Caenorhabditis elegans: one gene and its partners. The protein of the gene in region 2 purifies or fractionates together with the protein of the main gene of each other region. This does not show direct contact. Each region holds a gene or a part of one and is shown on either strand. Other genes may lie near its edges.

What was found.
Region 1: the proteins of lys-10 (region 2) and C32E8.9 fractionate together in Caenorhabditis elegans (co-fractionation; one large-scale study listed by BioGRID). This does not show direct contact.
Region 3: the proteins of lys-10 (region 2) and cku-70 fractionate together in Caenorhabditis elegans (co-fractionation; one large-scale study listed by BioGRID). This does not show direct contact.
Region 4: the proteins of lys-10 (region 2) and mog-2 fractionate together in Caenorhabditis elegans (co-fractionation; one large-scale study listed by BioGRID). This does not show direct contact.

The regions. Positions count from the first base shown.
Region 1 is NC_003279.8:3,793,320-3,800,201, forward strand, and holds C32E8.9 (Ethylmalonyl-CoA decarboxylase), read right to left. Parts: upstream 4,750-6,882; 5' UTR 4,731-4,749; coding exon 4,716-4,730; intron 4,648-4,715; coding exon 4,477-4,647; intron 3,396-4,476; exon of another isoform or gene 3,366-3,395; coding exon of another isoform or gene 3,220-3,365; intron 3,166-3,219; coding exon of another isoform or gene 2,847-3,165; exon of another isoform or gene 2,840-2,846; intron 2,290-2,839; coding exon 2,200-2,289; intron 2,149-2,199; coding exon 1,795-2,148; intron 1,486-1,794; coding exon 1,309-1,485; 3' UTR 1,237-1,308; downstream 1-1,236. Other genes in the region: C32E8.1 (RING-type domain-containing protein), read left to right, coding at 2,847-3,165, 3,220-3,365; Phosphatidylinositol-binding clathrin assembly protein unc-11, read right to left, coding at 5,886-6,034, 6,562-6,713, 6,873-6,882.
Region 2 is NC_003282.8:8,330,465-8,334,567, reverse strand, and holds lys-10 (LYSozyme), read right to left. Parts: upstream 1,743-4,103; coding exon 1,050-1,742; downstream 1-1,049. Other genes in the region: his-32 (Histone H3), read right to left, coding at 1-263; his-31 (Histone H4), read left to right, coding at 585-896; his-30 (Histone H2A), read right to left, coding at 2,519-2,902; his-29 (Histone H2B 1), read left to right, coding at 3,156-3,524.
Region 3 is NC_003281.10:11,152,689-11,158,549, forward strand, and holds the start of cku-70 (Ku domain-containing protein), read left to right. Parts: upstream 1-2,138; coding exon 2,139-2,360; intron 2,361-2,413; coding exon 2,414-2,516; intron 2,517-3,920; coding exon of another isoform or gene 3,921-4,511; intron 4,512-5,527; coding exon 5,528-5,712; intron 5,713-5,861. Other genes in the region: pola-1 (DNA polymerase), read left to right, coding at 1-100, 1,108-1,256; Y47D3A.31 (BAR domain-containing protein), read right to left, coding at 3,921-4,511.
Region 4 is NC_003280.10:4,322,053-4,327,284, reverse strand, and holds mog-2 (putative U2 small nuclear ribonucleoprotein A'), read right to left. Parts: upstream 2,925-5,232; 5' UTR 2,919-2,924; coding exon 2,689-2,918; intron 1,950-2,688; coding exon 1,418-1,949; 3' UTR 1,243-1,417; downstream 1-1,242. Other genes in the region: pfd-2 (Prefoldin subunit 2), read right to left, coding at 296-565; H20J04.6 (Transmembrane protein 222), read right to left, coding at 3,369-3,578, 3,627-3,752, 3,803-3,887, 3,940-4,025; Y52E8A.1 (RNA helicase), read right to left, coding at 4,729-4,800, 4,847-4,993, 5,040-5,219. UniProt on the Caenorhabditis elegans protein: This protein is associated with sn-RNP U2. It helps the A' protein to bind stem loop IV of U2 snRNA. Required maternally for early embryonic development and zygotically for germline and somatic development. Has a role in the switch from mitosis to meiosis.

The DNA of each region.
Region 1 (6,882 bases), on a different chromosome or scaffold from region 2:
TGAAAATCACAGAAAAGAAATACGAGGAAACTTTAAAACATCTTGTGGTTCGCTCACGAAACCCAAATTTGACCGCCGAAGACAAGACAAAACCAACAGGAGTAGATCAAAATAATAGATCAAGACGAAATAAATATAAGAAATCAAGCAGTCGATTTGCTGCAGTCAGAAGACGATCTCCGCTGTCCGCGTGCGTCATCGGAGAGGCGGATACCGGTCTTTCTTCTGCGGTTGTGTCATCAGATGAGGGTGAAAGCTGTGAGGGGAATAAGAAAGGGAGACAGAGAAAAGAGAGGGATAAATTCGACTTTCGGCATGATGATGTTCGCCTCTAAATGCAACAGCAGCGATACCGGTCCATTTTTCGCGCCTGTCTGGCATGGATTATTGGTAGAAAATTTCGAGAAAGTAATTCGTCTTGAAGGGAAAATATTTAATTGTCTAAATTGAAGAAGCCTGCAGTCCACTTATTTTTCTTTAAAGTTTTGAACTTTGGGAAACTTTCGATGAAGCTTGGATGAAGATTCTAGATTGCGCCGCGAAAAAACATTAAACAAATTCTTACGTCACTTTTTTCTATATCTGTTTTACAAAAATATCTCCTAAAGCAATCAAATTTGTAAATAGGGTTCTGAAGACGAAAAGAAATGGGTTAAGAGTCGTTAAGTCGAGAATGGAATCAAATTGAATGAAAAACATTTACATTGAGTAGGATATTTGAACAACGTTATTGAGAAAAATATAGATATTATGGGAACAAAAAATTCTGAAAATGCGTACTGCACAACATATTTGACGTGCAAAATATCTCGTAGCGAAAACTACAGTAATTCTTTGAATGATTACTGTAGCGCTTGTGTCGATTCACGAGCTCTATATTTATCGACTGAATAACAAATTTGAGAAAAAAAATTTGAGAAAATCTAGGGAAAATAAATTATTTAATATCGAAAATCGAGCCCGTAAATCGACACAAGCCCTACAGTAGTCATTCAAAGACTTACTGTAGTTTTCGCTACGAGATATTTTACGCAATACACATTCTCAGATTTTTGTGCTCCCGAAATATCGTAATTTTGCTAAAAATTGGCAATTTCAAAAGCACATGGGATTTTTTGAGTGGGTCTCGTCACGATCTCAGTCATAGAGATCGCTACAAATGCCAAAGTTCACAGATTTGTTAATTTTCATCTAGACTTTTTTTCAAGTTTAATAGTATTGGAGAAATAAATATTTGGATTCAGAATTGTTCATTTCTCTAAAAATAGTTTAAAATACAATACAAAATTCTTTCAAAAAAAAGCAAAATTATTTCTTGACGACCGCTTCGAGTTGTTTCTGAAGTGCATTTCGATGAGTTTCCCCGTTCCAGACGGCTTCCAGCACTTGTTTTTGCTCCGTTTTTCCTATTTTTACAGCGTTCAGCATAGCTTTCTGGGCTCTTGTCACTTTCAAACCAGCGCTAGCCACTTGGTTGATGAAGTTCTGAAAACATATTTCAATGTATTATAGCAATGGCGCTCCACGGCGAGGTAAAAATGCTCCGCCCCCAAACGTTGGGTCTCGTTAGGTATTGACTTTTTTCTTGCATACTTTTTCCGTTTTAAACATGTTTTTCATAATAATGGAAGAAACGGAAATTAATTTTAAGAAAAGACGAGAATAATTGAAAATGTTCGAATACCTAACGAGACCCAACGTTTAGAGGCGGAGCCTTTTCATTTGCCAGTGGAGCGCGAATGCACCTCGATTTTATGGGATTTCTAGGCGACAAATGACGTCACAGTTCCGTACCTCAGCTTCATCTTCACTTTTGTACACATAATCCACATATCCTTGATCCTTTGCTTCCTCAGCTGACATAACATTTGCCCGTCCCATTGCAGCTAATGCTCGTCCTCTACCCATAATTCCCTCCATATATTCGGCACCTCCCCACGACGGAACAATTCCCATTTTCGATTGAAAAAATGCGATTTTCGAGCCAGAATGAGCAATTCGAATGTCGGTCGACGAGCAAATTTCGGTGGCTCCGCCGAGTGCGTGGCCATGGATTTTCGCAATTGAAATAGCTGGTGATGAGTGGAGAAGTGAAAGAATTGATGACATGTACTCGAACATTTGGACGCCAAGCTTTTGGTCCGAAATCTGAAATTTAAACATTTGAAAGTTGGAATTTAAAAATTGGAATTTCATTACATCTTTGATAAGACCCAAATCAGCACCCGAGCAGAACGATTTTCCAACTCCCGAAACAACGATAATTGCGTTTTGATCATCGGAAAATAGCTGAAAAGTGATATTTCAGGCATTTTTACTACGGTCTCGCAACGAAAAAAATAATTTCAAATACGACTGCGCAAAAACATGTGTGTTTTAAAGTACAGTAACCCACTATATTGTGAAAATTTATAAAATTTAGCGAAAATTTATTTGCCTACTGTAAATAGCGCTTGTGTCGATTTACGGGGCTGATTTTCGAAATGAATTTTTTTCCGAGTAGCGACAGCGATATTCCATTTTCCTTCGTTCCAATATATTCTTTCAATAAATAAATTATTTCGATTCGTTTCGAAAATCAAGCCCGTAAATCTACACATGCGCTAAATACAGTAGGCGTCAAATATGTCGCGCAATACGCATTCTCGAAAGTTTTTGTTCCAGTAATAGTTGTACCTTCGAATATTCCAATATAATTGTGTAATTTAAATTTAATAATTTTTGATCTTCCCGTGAGAGCGTGTAAAATTAAAAAAAAAGGAATTTTTAAATAAATGAAATTGAGAGAGGCCGTGTAAAGCCGTGTAAATACGTGATGTTAAAACGGAATCAGATTTTTCAAAAAAATGAAGCAAGAGGATTGCAGAAGCAAGAGGATTGCAGAGCAAGTAGGACACGATGCGGTGCCAGTGAAAAAAGTTCCTTGGGAAGAGCAACAGTTGATGAAGAAAGTGAAGCGTCTGCAATCGGAGAACGAAAAGTTGAAGGTGCAGCTGGATGATATGGTGGATTGTTTTGTGGAAACGAAGGAGGCTCTTGAGAAGGAAAAACGTGTGACGGACTTCCTGAAAAAGGCGATTTCCGATCTCAAAACTCTTCCGATTGAATGTGAGATTTGTGCAGTACAATATGGGGATTCTGGAATGACCGTGCCTCGTGTTCTGCGTAAGTCTGCCAATGCAACTCATAAAATAATGATATTATTCTTATCATATTCAGCGTGTGGCCACACAATTTGCACCGAATGCGCTGGAAATATTATCCAAAACAAGATGATCCGTTGTCCATTCGATAGAAAAGTGTACAAGTTCAATAACAAGACGATCGAGAATCTGCCCAAGAATTTTTCTCTCATAAATCAGTAGAAATTCGAATAAATGATTTGAAAAATACTGTGTAGATTGATTCTGATTCTGAGATTCTTAAGGTCTTCGCGCAAAACTACAGTAACCGGTATCACAATAATTTCAAGTTCAGCCTGCGTAAAAACATGCGTGACAATTAAATTAGTACAGTAATCACGGGGTTCTGGCCTTTATCATTGAATTTTCGCGCTCCATTGACAATCGCCTGCCGGACAACGTGTGGAAAAGTGCCGTGTACTCCACACGGGCAAATACATCAATTTTACAACTAAAAACGAGCCGCGACGCGACACGCAACGCGCCGTAAATCTACATAAAATCTCTTCGACCCAAAATGGCCTAGTTCGGCAAACTCTGCCATTTCGATTTATGAGGGAAGCCAGAATTCCGTGATAATAATTTACCATATTGTTTCAAATTTTTTCTATTACGGGAACACAAAATTCTGAGAATGCGCATTGCGCAACATATCTCTTAGCGAAAACTACAGTAATTCTTTAAATGACTACTGCTGCCATTGTGTCGATTTACGGACTTGATTTTCGAAATGAATTTCTTTAAGACATCGATATTCCATTCTCATCTGTTTCCTCGTAATATTTGCTAGTTTTTTCTCAAATTTATTATTCAATCGATAAATAAATAATTTAAATTCATTTTGTAAAAAGAGCTCGTAAATCGACACAAGCCCTACAGTAGTCATGTCATTTACACGTGGTGTGAGAGTGTCCCATTTCGGTTTGATCTACGTAGATCTCGAAAATTTCGAGAATTTAGATGCAGACTTCTCAACTAGTGGTTAAGAACGTGCTGACGTCACATTTTTTGGGGTAAAAAATTCCCACTTTTCTTGTAGATCAAACAGTTATGAGACAGCCTGACACCACGTGCATTTGAAGAATTACTGTAGTTTTCGTTATGAGATATTTTGCGCGTCAAATATGTTGTACAATACGCATTCTCGGAATTTTGTGTTCCAGTAATATACTCAAGCATTTAGTATTAAAAAGTGCTGGAGAAATCGGTTGCTGCACTTCTTAAAGGCGCACACTGTTTTGCTCGGTCTCTACCTCTAATGCATCAAATTTCACGCGCAAATTCAAAAACTTGCCTCAGTGTGCTCTCCAAACTGCTTCATCATTTCTCCAGACAAACAATTATTCTTTTCCGGGCGGTCCAGAATTACGTCAAGTCTTGTTTTCAGCTTCTCGTTTCGCTGAACTCGAATCGCACCGCCTTGCCATGATTTAAAGACTTCCAGCAGTGCTGCGGATGGTCTAACCTGAAAAAATTCAATTCTAAAGGCACATAGTCGTGAATCACGCAATATTCAAATTTCGAAGAACATACCACTTTTCCAGACATTTTTGTCGCTCAGTTGCCCTGAAAAATTAGAAAAATCTTTTTATTTTTAGGTTATAAGCGGTTAGTGAGAAGAATAAGAATATATTTTCCCTATTTTTGAGTCACAAGTCGAAGCCCCGCCACCAAACGCAGGGTCTCATTAGGTATTGGCGGAAAAACAAGAAATTCAATAGTTTTCTTGACAGTTTTAGAATCCAAAAAACCGGTGCAAAATTTCATTTTCCTACAATTTTTGTACAAAAAACCGTACAACAAAGACCCCGCCCCTAAAATAGGCGGGGCTATGAACCATTTTGTGGGCGTGTCTGGCGGTAGATTTTACAACAAAAAAGTATGACGTGAATCGAGGAATCTACGAATATTTATTGCATCAATTGAAAAATCAATCTATCATCGCTTCTTGGCAATAGAGATAAAGTTGCAAAATTTCAAAATCTAAAAAAAGGAAGGATGGAAAATAATTTAATTTATTGCTATGAAACACGAGCGCTTAAAATGGGAGAGCCGGGGGGGGGAGGGGGAGTCAATAAATAAATATATAAAATTCAAATAATTAAATAGGACACAGAAGCGTGCGTTTTGCAAAATAAATTTTTGGGTGGAAAGAATGAAACAAAAAATGCCGCTAGAGACTGGAAGACGCAGAGATAGAGATAGGGGGAAAACATCACTGATCTGACGAAAATTTGGCCGAATCTGAAGAATTTTGGGGGGTACATTGTATCTAGAGAGCATGAAAAATTATGACAATTCGACCGAAGAAAAAGGCAATTTACTGGAATATATATTCTAATCAAGGGTGACGTCGAAAAATTCTGATTTTTCGGTATTTTGGGGTAATTGAAAAATCGAGAAAAAAAATCGATTTTTCCGAATTTTTCAATGCAAAAAAACGACACATTTGATTGCAATATACTTTGACTATTCAAAAATTTTGAAAAAAAAAGGTTAAAAAGGAATACTAAGTGATTTCAAATTGGAGTGGCACCTGGATTTCGCTATTTGATTAGTTTTGCACAATCTACTGGAAATTCTAAAATTGGAGAATCTTGGGGGATATCAAGAAATAGAAATAGGCTATCATTTTGTTTTTACATTAAAAAAAAATAAATCAGGGAATGTTACGAGAGAGATAGAGAGAAATAGACGACTAGACTATAATCCAAATGGATCGGCTGAGGCGGCCTGGGCCTGTTGAGCTTGTGCAGCGTTCTTTGCAGCCATCGCTGCATGAACCAATTGAATTTGGTGTTGCTGTTGTGGTGGAACAGGTTGTCCGTATCCATATTGTTGACCGTATGCTGCTGCAAAAAAAATAAGATTTTGAAAATCTACCGAAATATAGTGCCAGACACGCCCACAAAATGGTTGAATTCCTATTCTAGGCGTGGGGCTTTTTTGTTTTTGTTTGGTATTATTTAGACCAAAAAATAAACCAAAAACTGCTCACTTTCTCGCGGTTTTTTAATAAATTTAAGTATAAATTTTTTTTGTTGGTTTTTTGGCCCGAAATCCAACCCAAAAATGTTTTGCTATTTTTTGTCCAAAATTATTTTTCCGCTTATCCAAAAATTGCTGGAATATGAAATGTTCCACCGATTTTTCGATTTTAAATAAAACTGAATTTTTTCCAGAGGTTTAAATTTTATATTTTAGTATAAAATAGGTGTATGAGCATATTTCGAAAATGAAGCAAAAATTAACAAAAAATGCTTCAAAATCGATTTTCACATTTAAAATAATCTTGAAATATTGTGAAAAATTAGATAAAAATTCAATTGTTCCGAGATTCTAATTTTAAAAAAATTCCTCGTTTTTTCGATAAACTAACCCATCGCAGGATTCCACATTGGCTGAGCACCAAATGGTTGTTGATACATTCCCATTGGAGCCGTATACATTGGCTGAGGAGCCGACGTTGCTCCAAACGGATTGTTTGAGACGGCAGAAGTTGTGGTATTCCAGCCGGCCGGTGCTCTGTAACTAAGATATTTTTAGGCAAGATTTTTCGATTTTCTTTAGAAATTGTGAAATTTTGTAAAAGGTAATATGTATAATCTAGCCCTAGTGGTTCGTTCGTGTCGTGAGTCACGAAAAAAATTGCAACAAAAATTGCATTAAAATTGACAAAAATAATCCTACCCCTGCTGAT
Region 2 (4,103 bases):
GAAGACTGGAAACGAAGATCGGTCTTGAAATCCTGAGCGATCTCACGAACGAGGCGCTGGAATGGCGCTCTGCGGATGAGAAGCTCGGTGGACTTCTGGTAACGTCTGATCTCACGAAGAGCGACGGTTCCTGGACGGTAACGATGTGGTTTCTTGACTCCTCCTGAAGCTGGGGCCGACTTGCGGGCAGCCTTGGTGGCCAATTGCTTTCTTGGAGCCTTTCCTCCGGTCGATTTGCGGGCGGTTTGCTTGGTACGAGCCATTGCGTTTGAGATGAAAATCCGAGGGGACTGTGAAAAAACCTTTAGTCTGTCCCCTTTTATACGAAGAAGTGTAATATTGGGGTGAGAAGGCGGAGACCTCATTCATTCCCCTGCAGGGACACATCTCAGTGTTTGCATTCTAACCGAATGACCTATCTACAGAAAATGGAAGAGATAGAGAGTGAGAGAGTGGTACACCATGTGTCCTAACAGGATGGTTCAATGTGATCCCTCCTACATCCACCGCAGCTGGTATAAAAGACAGCCTCATTTCTTCATTTTTTCATCTCATTCGTGAGTCTTCAATTCAATCACTCAACAATGTCCGGACGTGGAAAGGGAGGAAAAGGCCTTGGAAAAGGAGGAGCCAAGCGCCATCGCAAGGTGCTCCGTGATAACATTCAAGGTATCACCAAGCCAGCAATTCGCCGTCTCGCCAGAAGAGGAGGAGTCAAGAGAATTTCTGGATTGATCTACGAGGAAACACGTGGAGTCTTGAAGGTGTTCCTTGAGAACGTCATCCGTGATGCTGTCACCTACTGCGAGCACGCCAAGAGAAAGACGGTAACTGCTATGGACGTCGTCTATGCTCTGAAGCGTCAAGGAAGAACTTTGTACGGATTCGGAGGATAATTCATTTATCTTCTGTTTTTCTGCAAACCCACCGAACCCAACGGCCCTCTTTAGGGCCACAAATGATATGAATTCTTAATTTGTTTTTTTTATTTTAATAAAATGTGAAAATATCAATTCCATGATTTATATACTCGTTAATATATATTAAACTTATGGAACATAATTCAAATCAACACTGACTCCACATGGTCCTTTGGTAGTTCCATGCCACTGATGAATTGTTGGTTTTTTCCATCCGCCGAAAGCTACGAATTTTGAGAAATCCTTGATTCCATCGTATGTTGCCCACCAAAGCATTAAATGAGATTGACCATGGTAATCCAATCCAACTATATCTTGCCAGTTGTAGTAGTTACTGTAGATTCCAACATGTTGTTTTCTAGCCTCGGCTTCTTTAACCATTTCTTCAATGAAAGCACGGTTATGAGCATGATTAGCAGGCCATGCAAGACGTTCAATATCCAACCAAAGGGTGGATACATGAGTACCAGCGCTCTTCAGAGCATCGAGAGTTTCTTTAACTTGGTTTGCAGCAGATGGACAATGAGATGCCAAACAAGGAAAAATGTATCCATCAACGTCAGTTAAACCAGCTGAAATTTTTCTACCGTTAACAAACGTATTCTTAAATGATTTATTTCCTTCTCTAGCGTGTTTAACATTTTGAATTCCAGTATGATCAAGAGTTCCAACAGAAGTAAATACTCTTGGAATTACGAAAGAATATCCATCTTTGTGAATACATTTAAATGTTTCAACTGAAACTGGTTGAATGAAATCAATTCCATTCTTGGCAGCATTTATTGTGGTTACAAGAATAAGAAGAACAATAAGCAACTTCATATCGCTTCAACTTATACTAGTGTGATTTCTCAATTCTTTATATACACATTCTGTACCGGAAACAATGCTGGTGTGACTTTCACATTGCAGAAACTTCAAAAATTCTTATCTTATGGTTTTTGAAAAGCCAATGAAAATATAGAGCAAAATGTGGAAAAGACTAAATTTTTAATTCTAATTTCTTATCATTGGGCACACTTCTTCATAACTCACAGATCAAAAGAGCTACTTTTTCGGACTTCGACCTTTAACAAAACATCTTTGATGCCAGTTTGAAACTATCAATATAAGAACTACAATCTTTACTGTTGCTATTTGGGTATGTCTATTTAACTTTGAATAGGTATTCCCTGTAATCCCCCACCCTTTCCTGTCATGTTTTATATTTTCTATGGGTTAATGAATATGCATATAAGCATGATATATTTTAGAAACATTTATAGCACAGCTTATTAATAATGTATCAAACAATATACTGCAAATATAATAATAAAACTGCGTGGTGTGTATGAACAGATTACAGGAAAATGAAACCTGAAGAGTGACGTCATATTTCGGTCCAGTAAGTTCCGGAGGTGAAATGACGGTAGTAAACTGACAAAAGTGAAAAGAAGATAATTGAATGCATAATCTATATTGTGCATATATGAGTTTTCCGAGCCAGAAAAAATAAATGTTCGAAAAAAAGTTTATTAATAAGATGTTAGAGGATTTATTGTAAATGTGGCCCTAAAGAGGGCCGTTGGGTTCGGTTTGTATTATTTGGAGACAAGTATTTATTCCTTATCTCCTCCAGTCTTCTTTGGAAGAAGAACAGCTTGGATGTTTGGAAGAACTCCTCCTTGAGCAATAGTCACTCCAGCCAAAAGCTTGTTGAGCTCCTCGTCATTTCGGACAGCAAGTTGAAGATGTCTTGGGGCAATACGAGTCTTCTTGTTGTCACGAGCAGCGTTACCTGCCAACTCGAGAACCTCAGCAGCGAGGTATTCAAGAACAGCGGCCAAGTAAACTGGAGCTCCAGCTCCGACACGTTGAGCATAGTTTCCTTTACGGAGAATACGGTGAAGACGACCGACTGGGAATTGAAGTCCAGCTCTTGATGAGCGTGACTTGGCCTTTCCTCCGGTCTTGGCTTTGCCTCCCTTTCCACGTCCAGACATTGCTAGTTGAGTGTTTTTGTTCGTAAACTGGTGAGGTGTATTCAATGACCCCTTTTTATGTATTCTGTGCGGTGATGGTGGGGGAGGGTCTTATCGGGGAGACACCATCTATTGTCTATGTGCATTCGGCAGTACAGGTGCAAGTGAGACATGTGTCCCTGCAGAGAGACTCCGCCTTCCCACCGCATTGTTTGTATATAATAATCTCTATACAACCCCATTTCTTTATACTTGTCACAAGTCCATTCTCATCATGCCACCAAAGCCATCTGCAAAGGGAGCCAAGAAGGCCGCCAAGACCGTCACCAAGCCAAAGGACGGAAAGAAGAGACGTCATGCCCGTAAGGAGTCATACTCTGTCTACATCTACCGTGTCCTCAAGCAGGTTCACCCAGATACTGGAGTCTCCTCAAAGGCTATGTCCATCATGAACTCTTTCGTCAATGACGTCTTCGAGCGTATCGCCGCTGAAGCATCTCGTCTTGCTCACTACAACAAGCGTTCTACCATCTCATCCCGCGAAATTCAAACCGCTGTTCGTTTGATTCTTCCAGGAGAGCTTGCCAAGCACGCCGTGTCTGAGGGAACCAAGGCCGTTACCAAGTACACTTCCAGCAAGTAAGCAATCAAATGCTCAATGCTAATTACACCGAACCCAACGGCCCTCTTTAGGGCCACAATACATCTAAAATCCATCAGTTGTTCCAATAAAATTTTTAGTAATATTTGTGACGTCATGAAAACCGTTAGTTTTAGTTCAATTTTTTTAAATTTCATTTTAAATTTATTATATATGTATCTTAATCATGTATTAGCAGTGCTTGTTGGATGTCGTACTACATATTTTGTAATTCTCCAATTTGTTTTTAGTTGTTATCTACGGGGGCATATTTGTACATACGAATTTGGTTGTGTAAAGGGTTTATGAATACGATGAGTCAATATTATCAAAACAAAGCATGCTACGAATTGTGTCACGGCCTGTAAATTTGGTTCTTAATCTCATACCTATCTAGTACTATTAATTTCAAAACATTTCAAGTTTAAACTTCCTGTTTCAGGAAATTACTATTCTACTTATTTCAATTTTTGTTCTATTCTTGTTTCATGATCTCTTCATTCAATTATTCCATGCGTCCTGATGACTCGAGGTTCTTCAAATAAACAAGAGTGACGTTTCAGCCACCCAGTTTTTTTCGTA
Region 3 (5,861 bases), on a different chromosome or scaffold from region 2:
CGTGAATACACTTCAAAACAGCTTTTCGATCAGCAAATGTTCTTTCGAACAATTCTCGATGTCGACGCGGCTGTACGAAAGTTGAGCGACGCCCAGAAAAGTTCGTGTTTGCGAAATTTTATTGGAAAAAAATGGGAAAAATCCCTAGAAAATGGGAAATTTCGGCGAAATTCAGCCAAGAATCGTGAGAATTAGCGGAAAATCTCGAAAATAATGGAAACAAACCGAATTAGGAGAACATTTTTAACTATTTTTGCGTTAAAATCATTCAAAATTCGATTTAAAAAATGTGATTTTCTTTCAATTTTTTTTTTGGAAATCGGACTTTTAATGTAAACTTTTGGTGAATAATTGTAATTTCAAAAAAAAAAACGCAGAGTTCGGAGAAAAAGTTTACTTAAAAAATTTTATTTTCTATTTCAGCAGCTATTCAGCATTTTTTTTTTTCAAAAAAAAAATTACGGAGATAAAATTATTCGGCTTTTATAATTTTATTACTCAATCCCGAAATTTCACGATTTTTGCGCCCGGGTCTCGACACGACAAATTGTTGTTGAATGCGAAAAGGTGTGCGCCTTTAAAGAGTACTGTAGTTTCAAACGGAATTTTTTATCGATTTTGCGCATAGATTTTCACACGATTTGTTAAAATTTAAGCGGTTTATTTCAGTTTTTCTAATAAAAAGCATATTTTTTAACGAAAAACTGAAAAAAATTGGATGAAATTTGAGAAATTTTCATCCATTTTTTTCAGTTTTTCGTTAAACAAAAAAACTGAAATAAACCGCTTAAGTTTTAACAAATCGTGTGAAATTCTATGCGCAAAATCGATTAAAAAAATCCGTTTGAAACTACAGTACTCTTTAAAGGCGCACACTTTTTCGCATTCAACAACAATTTGTCGTATCGAGACCCGGTACCGTATTCTTTGAAAAGCTTGGCTCAAATAATTTTAAATCCGTAATTTTTTTTCAGTAAATTTTTTCTCCGATTTCTGAGTTTTTTTTTTCGTTGAAAATTACAATTTTTCACTAAAAATTAGCATTAAAAGTTCGATTTCCAGGAAATTTTGTACAATTTTTTCTTCAAAAAAGTTTTTTTTTTCCAGAAGCCGCCAAAGTCCGTGTCGAATATAATGGGTGCAAAATCGATTCAATGATGTTGGCTGATCGAATCAATGAGAAATATTTGGAGAAAAATGCCTATAATCGAGTGGATCTTTCATATATTTTTGCGCCAATGATGAAAATTCAATGAATTTATTTTCTTTTTTTTTTGAAAATTTCCCCCCAGTTTTGCGATTTTCCCGTCTTTTTTATGTCGAAATTTCTAATTTCCTAATTTTTTTCACAAGTCATTTCCTCCTCCTCCATTTTTCCATTTTCTCCTAATTTTCAGTGAAAAATTCTTTATTTTTCCCCAAAAAAATATTCCCGAAAATACTCAAATCATATCTGATAAACAATCGAATCCTGTGTTAATTCTCCCTTTTTTCACTGAATTTTTGGAGTTTTTCCATCTCTGAAAAAATTATTTCAATTTATTATAGTATTTGTGTCGACTTACGGGGAGAATTTGAACATTTTCGCTATTTTCAAATTTTCTATGCAAAGTAATTTATTTTATTGTAAAATTAAAATTTTTGAGCAAAAAATAACACTTCTCCTCGAGGAGTACACGAAGGCTGCTGCGTAAATCGACACAGGGGTTGTCGATTTACGAGGGATAATGTTTCGGAAACTGAAATTTTAGCCAAAAAAAAAGTCGAGATTTTGCAAAAAAATTGAACTCAAACTTGTCCACGTGTAGTTCAAAATCCGTCGTAAATCGACACATGCATAAAAACCGTGTGTCTATTTACGCAGCTGGTGTACTCCTCGAGGAGAAGTTTTTTTTTTTTAATTTTTCAGTCACGAGCTCCGTAAATCGACAAAATATGATATTTTTTTCTCGAAAAATTTGAAAAAAAAAACTTTCGAAATTTTCAAAACTTGAAAAATGTCAAATTTCAAAGTTTTTGAGAACAAAAATATTTTAATAAATATTTTTAAATTCAAAAAAAATTAATTTTTCGATTTTTTCAGTCAAAATTTGAATTTTTTTTCGAGAAAAGTTTGAAAAAAATCAATTTTTTTCCAGATGGACGAAACCCGCTTCGAGGATGACGATTTCGAGGGTTCAACGGCCAATAAAAAGTACACATTCTTCATAATTGACGGAAATCCGGCAATGTTCGAAACGTCGAAAGCCGGTGAGCCGCCAGAGTTCAAGCTTGCTCTGAAGCTCATTCTCGACGAAATAGTCCGTGTTTGCTGCTCGCGGAGCCTTAACAATCATATCGGAGTGATTGTCACTAGTACTGTACGAGTTTTTTCTGAAGAATTTCTGAAAATTTAATAATTTTTTAATTACAGAAAAACTCGGAGACCGAGGGACTCGAAAATAGCACTCTGCTTGTGCCGATGGGTGTTCTTGGACAGGAAGAAGTGAATAAGATTAAGGAAATTGCGGAGGAAGGTGCGGAAATCGCGGACAATTTCTGACATTTTCGTGGTTTTTTTTCTCGGCATTCGTCGTCTTTTGGCGACTTGGCACAATTTTCGCAGTGAATTAGGCAAACTTCTAATTTTTCAAAATCTCGACAAATTGGCAATTTCCAGTTAAATTTCGAGTAAAATCTACAATTTCAGAATATTATACGCAATCTGGCAATTTTTTGGCAAAAAATTGATTGTTCTTTTGACTTTTGGCAGAATTTCGGTAGATCACCACTTTTTTGAAAATTCGAACGATTTTTTTCCGGCAAATAGACAAATTGTCGGAATTGAAAATTTCTGGCAAATTGCCAAATTGCCGGACATGACAATTTCTGGCAAATTGCCAGAATTAAAAGTTTCTGGCAAATTGCCAGAATTGATTGAAAATTTACGGCAAATTGCCAAATTGCCGGAATTGAAAGTTTCCGGCAAACCGGCAAGTTGCCGGAAACTTTCATTTTTGGCAATTCGGCAACTTGCTGGAAATTAAATTTTCCGGCAATTCGGCAAACCGGCAAATTGTTGGAAATTAAAGTTTCCGGCAAATCGGCAAAATGCCGGAATTGAAAATTTCCGGCAAACCGGAAAATTGTCGGAAATTAAAGTTTCCGTCAACTCGGCAATCCGGCAAGTTGCCAGAAATGAAAATATCCGTCAATTCGGCAAACCGGCAACTTGCTAGAAATCAAAATTTCCGGCAAATTGCTGAAAATGAAATTTTCCGGCAAATCGGCAAGTTGCTAGAAATTAAAATTTGCGGCAATTCGGCAAACCGGCAAGTTGCCGGAAACGAAAATTTCCGTCACGGCAAACCGGCAAATTGCCAGAATTGAAAATTTACGGCAAAACTGCAAACCGGCAAGTTGCCAGAAATGAAAATTTCCGTCAATTCGGCAAACCGGCAAATTGCCAGAAATGAAAGTTCTCGTCAAAACGGCAAACCGGCAAGTTCCCATAAATGAAAATATACGGTAATTCGGTAAATCGGCAAATTGTCGGAATTTAGTTTCCGGTAAATCTGCAACTTGCCGGAATAAAAAATTTCCGGCAACAATTCGGCAAACCGGCACATTGTCGGAAATTAAAGTTTCCGGCAAACCGGCATTTCCGACAATTTGCCGAATTTGCCAAACGGCAATTGCCGTCCACCACTGCTTTCGACAAAACAATTTCCGGTATTTTTTTTTCAAGAAATTGGCAATTTTCGACGCCAGAACTTAGCTTTTCATAAAGAGCGGCCTGAAATCGTGTAGGCCACGCCGCCTAGAAAATTGGCAAAACAATATTTCATAATAACCTAATTTATTTTCAAAAAAAAAAAAGGTTTTTTTGTGAGATCTCTTCAATTTTCAATTTCTCATCCATCACCACCACCACCACCACCTCAATTCGGTTTCCTCATTCCGGCCTTTATCTCCCGCATCAATTCATCTTGCCACATGGAATGAGTCTCCTCAATTGTCTGAATACTTATCGCCAACTCACGCATCCGATCACAAGCCACCTCAAACTCACGAGTGGCATCATCAAACCGAGTCCGATTGACGTCAGTGTCGTTGCTGGCGTACTTGTTCGCAGCACTATCCATATCGAGACGTGTCTTATTCAAATTGGCAATTGTATTTGTGTGAAGCTTACTCTCGTTCTGTGTGAACGCCTTGTACCGCTCACAAATCGCCAGCACCTTATCCATCGACTCGACTTCTGCCTCCATCCGCGTGTCGACACAATTGATGAACGGTTGCACGTTGATACGATCTCCGAGCAGAGCATAGTTCTCCAGTGGGCCTGAAAAGTTGGCTTTCACTTGCCAATTTGCCACGTCGTTCAGATTTGCCATGTGCTTGTAGAGATCCTGGACGCGGGGCTTCAGAGATTTGAAGTAGATCAACGCCTCGTCGATTTCGGCGGGAAGCACTGTCGCCTTGCTTCTGCCCGTCTTTTCTTTCACTTTTTGCTTTAGTCGACTGAACATTGTTGAACAACTCACGCACACACCACCGAGTCGAAATTTAGGAATAAATTGAATTTTGAATTTTGTCCGCGGCGTTTTTTTTTTTTGCTGTTGGAATTTTGAAATTTCCAACGTGGAATTTTGGGATTTTCACGGAAAAAAATTTGATATTTGAGTTTTGTTCAAGTTTGAAAAAGTTAGAAAAGTTTCAATTCCGGCGATTTGCCGGTTTATCGGAAATTTGCAATTCCGGCAATTTGCCGGTTTTGTCGATATGCCGGAAATTTTCATTTCCGCCAATTTGCCGATTTGCCGGAAATTTTCTACTCCGGCAATTTGCCGGAAATGTTCAATTCCGCCCATTTGCCGGTTTGCCGGAAGTTTTTAATTCTGGCAATTTGCTGGTTTTCCGTAAATTTTCCGATTTGCCGGAAATTTTCTATTCCGGCAATTCGCTGGTTTGCCAAAAATTTTCAATTCCGCCAATTTGCCGATTTGCCGGAAGTTTTCAATTCCGACAATTTTCCGATTTGGCTGTAGATTCCATTTCGGCAATTTGCCGGTTTGCCGAAACTTTCAGTTCCGGCAATTTGCCGATTTGCCGGAAATTTTCTACTCCGGCAATTTGCCGGAAATGTTCAATTCCGGCAATTTGCCGGTTTGCCGGCAGTTTTCAATTCCGGAAATTTGCCGATTTATCGGAATTTTTAATTCCGCCCATTTGCCGGTTTGCCGGAAGTTTTTAATTCCGGCAAGTTGCCGAATTGCCGGAAAGAAATCGTTTGCCGCCCACGCCTGCAGTAGATTTCGAAATTTTCGGCAAGTTTATGCAACCGACGTTATTTTGGTTTTACCGGAAATTTGATATATTTGCAAAGTCACTAGACATATGCGATTCTCAGTGAAGGCTTTCCGACCAATAAGCGATCCGAGGTGGGCGTGACCAACATTGCTAATTGGTTGGCGGTCCCGATTTGAAGTGAAATTTCAATTTTCAGAAGTTTTCCGAAAAGAAAATAAATAATTTTTTGTTCCAGAAAACCTCCTCTCGGCAGTGAACAATTACGGCGGTGATCATCACAAATCCGACTTGTCAAATGTGCTTAACTACTGTAAACGAGTGTTTGCAAGTTGTTCGAATACACGTCATCAATCGGTCATTTATTTGACAAACAATCGGAATCCATTTGAACGTGACGATTTTTTGGAATCTTCGCATTTTGTTAGTGGATTTTTTGGCGGGTTTTCGTGGAAAAAACACATAAAATATCGTTAAAAAATACAAAAAAAGAAACTTTAAAAAATCATAATATCCATGGAAAATTAAATTTACTGACAAAATATATAAATTAGTGTTGTAGTCAAAAAAAA
Region 4 (5,232 bases), on a different chromosome or scaffold from region 2:
ACTCCTTGAAGGCGCATAGCTTCCAGATACCGTATTTTTGGTGCAACAAATCGGAAAATTCAGTGTTTCAGATGAAAAAATATTTTTTTTTGCTTCAAAAAACTGTCAATTTTCATCGGAAATACTGTAAATCCCCAATTTAAAACGCGTTAAATATAGAAAAAAGGTCGAAAATCAGGTATTTCAGCCGGAATCTGTAAAATCTTCTCCACGAGGAGTACACAAACTCCGTAAATCGACACATGACTGTTTCCTCCGCCTTTTCTTCTATTTTTCCCGACTTTCAAATCCTCACATTAGCGATATTATTCTGCAAATCCGGAATAACATCCTTGACAGTATACTCGACAAGTGTATCACTAATCAAACGGAAGCATTTCTGATCCGGTTCAAGATCCTTGATCACTTCGAGAACACGTCCAAATTCACGTCGTTCCTCTTCGATTCGAGTCACTTCGGCGGCGATATCCTGTTGTTGATCACGTAGAGCCTTGAACTTTTCGACGACTTTTCGTTGCTCTTCTTGCTCGGCTGGAGTGGCGGCGGCGGTTTGAGCGGCCGACATCTGGAAGTTGTGGATTTTTTGAAAATAATTGTTTTAATGGTAGAGAGCCAGTTTTTTTTTGGTTTTTTTTGCCAAAACTGACCAAAAAAAATTTTTATAATTGAAAAAAAAAGATTTTTCAAAATATTTTGCAAAAAAACTAGTGAAAGCCGATTTATTTTTGAATTTCTCACCGATTTTCTACATTTTTGTATTTTCCGGCTTTTTTTATCGGTTTTTCATTGTCACATTTTCAGTCATTTTTCAGCAAAAAAAGTTGAAAACTCTAAAATTAGCCAAAAATCGATAGTTTTTGTGAAAAAAAAAGTCTAAAATTATCGATTTTTAGGGTAATTTTAGAGTTTTAACGCATTTTTTTAAGGGTTTTGAAGTTTTTTTTTTGCGGAAAAATGACAAAAAAACACAAAAAATGGATTATTTTAGGCGAGAATTCAAAAAAAAATCCGCGTTTTTTCCAATTTTTAAACCTTTTTTTTCCAAATAGATATTTGAAGGCGCTGGGAAGTTCCCAGTGGGAACCTCTCAAAATTAATAAAATAATAAAAAATAGCCGGAAAACACAAAAATGGCTGAAAAAGGATTTTTTTCTAACTTTTTGTTGCAAAAATTTCAAAAAATCAAATATAAAAAGGCACGGGGAACCTTTGAAAAATCGATAAAAATATCAAAAATAATAGGGGAAATATTGTTTTATGGTATATAAAAATTACAAAAAAAGGGAAGACAGACTGGGAAAAAATTGGAAAAAAATGAGAATATAAATAAAACAAGGAGTATCATTTTAACATTAAAAAAATCAAATAAAATAAATAAATAAATTTTAGCAGCACATTCTGCAATTTTCAAGATTTTTCAAGACTCCATCGCTTCCCCATCGGCACCATTCTGATCCATCTGACGATTCCATCCCTTTTCCGGAACCTTTCCCGATGCCAGAATCGACTGAAGATAGTTGACTTCACTGAGTGACTTGGCATTCTTGATCGCTTCCTTGATCTTCTCCCGATCTTCATCAGTAAGCCGAGCACCTCCACCCGAACTATTCTCATTTGGTTCAATTTCTGATGGATCTTCTGTATGAACACTCTTCTGAATCGCATCTCTCGCCTTCTTTCCACTTTTTCCTTTGAACATCTTCTTCGCAGCTTCACGTTCTGTCAGTCTGACTCGATTGAAGTCAATCACTCGAACCGTCGGCAGCTTGTAGATCATATACATCCGATAATTGTCCTTGTGAGTTATCGGATTTCCGATAAATGTCACGTACTCGAGCTTCTTGCATTCTGCCAGTGGCTCAATGTCTCCGAGCTCGCAAATGTTGTTGTTGGTCAGTGCAAGAGTTTTGAGATTTGGAAGTTTTGTGGCAATGTCGGGTGCGATATAGCTGAAAATATGGGGTAAATTGGTGGGAATGGAGCTCGAAAATGTGGGAAAAAAGCAGTTTTGCAATGAAAAATGGAGGGTTTTTAATTTTTTTTCAGGAAATAGTAACCATAAAATTTAAATTTTTGAAGAATAAATTAGAGAAAGTATTTTAAAAATTTGAAAATGACCAAAATTTTAGGATATTTTCTGAAAAATCGATTTTTTCCCCTACTTTCCGAAAAAAACTTCGATTTTTCGAAAAATGGCTTAAAATTTTTCGAACTTTTTCAGGAAAAAAATTATATTTTTCCTATGTTCTTTCATAAAAAACTGATTTTTTCGTTTTTTTTTTTTGGAAAAAATAGCGAAATCCGGCTAAATCTGAATTTTTCGCCAACTTGCCGAAAAAAAAATTTGGAAATTTCATGAAATTTCAGAGCAAAGAAACGTTTTTTTTTCAATTTTTTAAATTCAATTTAGGGAAGTTTGTCAGAATTTTCCGGTTTAAAATTTTTTAAAACCCTATTTCAAGCTGAAATCACCGAATTCTGCCAGGAAACCCCATTTTTCGGTACTTTTCAGTCGAAAATAACCAAAGTTGGGTACAAATCGACTGGAAAAGCACTAAAACACGGATAAATTGGCAAAATTGGAATTTTTAGCTAAAATTTGGGCTTTTCCAGCAAAATATGGTGCAAAATTCTATATTTTTAGCTAAATTTAGCCACTTTTCGCTCGTTTTTCGGAAAACTACGCACTTGATTCGATTATTATGAAGATACAGCGTATTCAAACGAGAAAACGTCGGAAAATTGTCCAATTTCCTGATATCGTTGTCAGTCAGATCGATGACATCGAATTGATCCCTCGTCACTCCCATATTCTCGATTACGGGGATTTTTTGGCCGCGCAAGTTGATCTCCCGCATATTGACCGAATTGACGAATTGTGGACGCTCGGCGAACAGCTCAGTCGTGAGACGGACCATTTTTCGCTGGAATTAGGGGGTTTTCAATGTAAAAAATAACAAAAAAACATAGAAGATAGACAAAAAGTCGGCTGCAAACCGGTTAAACATCAAGAAAACTTGAAAAAAATATATATGAAAATTACAGAAAAAAAATACATTTTACATAATATATCACACGAAATATTTAACAGTTGGACTATATTTTACATGAGATCAAATTATTCCACAAAATAGTCTATTTAACCATGTTTTTCAGCATTATTCACGAAAAATCAGTGTAAAAATATAGAAAATCCCTCGATTTCTCTGAAATTACCATTTATTCCAGCTGAAACGTCCATTTTTGTTCATTTTCTCAACTGTTTCGGCTGAAATAAATGCTGTTTCTAGATAAATCTAATTTTCAATGAAAATATGCTGGAAAACATAATGAAATAGGTCATTTTGTAGAATTCCCATGGTCAAAAATTATAAAAAAGCCCACAGCGCAACGAAAATGAAGACAATTATAACGAATGGAAGGTATTGAGCGAGCATATCCGTGTTACGAACGAAGCTTCCTTTTGTCAGTGAATACCACGCCAAATTGATCATATTCCAGTCCTCGCGCTCATCGTAGCGCATTTTGTTGAGAGCCAGAGCCACGTGCGAGTGACAATTATCGCAGATGAGATTGTGCTGGAAATAAATGAAATATTGATCGGAAAAATCGATTAAAAACCGTACAGTTCTAGTTTTATACGTGTCGGAAGCATCTTGAACTGCTCTATCGAAGACTTCCGCGCCACCTTCCACCTTTTCCGGGCCTAATTGCCAGTATCTTGTGGGCCAGCCGAATCCCATGTCGTCTTCCTAAAAATATTCTACTTTTTGGAAGTAATAAATTGAATTTGGGCACAAACCGCCACATAATAGCTCCCAGCAAAGTCTCGAATGATTCCACGGCTATTCGCGATTCCCATGTGGCCGATGAATGGGAAAAACCAACTGAAACAGCATTTTTAGCTGGATTATTGGGATAAAATTAGATATTTCCTACGTCAGGCATGGAATCGGAGTCCAAACAATGCAGTATGGATACCGATTGTTTTCTGGGCAGATGTCACGGTCGGTGAGCGGCATCATTGACCTAGAAATGGAGATAGACACTGGTGAATTGGAAAAAAACGAGCAGATCAGGTGATTAAAACGTTTAAAATGTATGAAACAAAATTTCGTGATAATTTTAAGCCGAAAAATCAAAAAATCGCCTCAAAATTGAAGGAAAACAATCGAAAAACGCAAAATTCTGGAAAAAAATAAATCGAAAATTCAAATGTCCGCAAACACCGCGCGGCGAAACTGCACACAATGCGCAGTATTGTACGCGCAAAAAACTTGGAATAATAAGAAAATTTAATATTTATTCGGCAACTAAAAATAGGAAAATTCTAATTTAATTGGAATTTTTATGAACAAAAAAGCCAAAGCGGAAATTAAACCCTACCGTACTACCCATTCCTAAAGGCGCATAAGTCTTTATCAGGCAAAGATCGAAAGAGATGCTATCAAATTGCGGTATGAATGGACAATATGTGCAAAGTACAAGCCAAGACAAACTGAATAACAATGAAACTGAAAAGGAAACACCAAAGTTGAGATAGGTAAATGTTGAAGATCCCGAAGGTTTTTCATCCAGGCGGGAGCAAAAAGTCTCTTTTTCAAGTTCACTTCTGAATATCTGTTTTTTCCATCTTTTTACATTGAAAAATGAATTTGAATCAATAATGAAATAAAAATAATCTTCATCAATCAATTGGAAGTCATAAACGAAAAGAAATCAGGAAAGTTATTGTTTTTCAATTGTGCGTTGGACCTTCAAAGTGATGTTTCCTCGATTCTTGAAATCTCTTAAACCTCCCTGCAAAAAAATACAAAAAATTACATTTAAAAAATCTAATTCTTACATAATTATAAATATTTATTCCATCGATCGATAAGTTTATGTCACCAGCATAAAGAGCTTCATCTACCGGCGATCCTGGAATAACCGAAAGAACCTTGGCGATGCCATTTGAGATTGTAATATGGCATCCAAAATGTTGACTGGATGTCTGAAAAAATCTGTATAAGTATACTGGATGTGTTCGGGATGTATACCTTGTTAATTACAACAGTAAGAATTTCATGCTCCGGGACCGGCTCCGGTTCCTCGCTTCCTTCGAGAATTTTTGGAATACAAGCCGCCTGAACCGGCGTCGCAGTTTTAATTTGCATAGTTTCGAGCTGTTGGTTGATCCAGGAGCACACGCCGAGCTGGGAGAATTTCTTAGTTGTCATGTTGTCTTCGGAG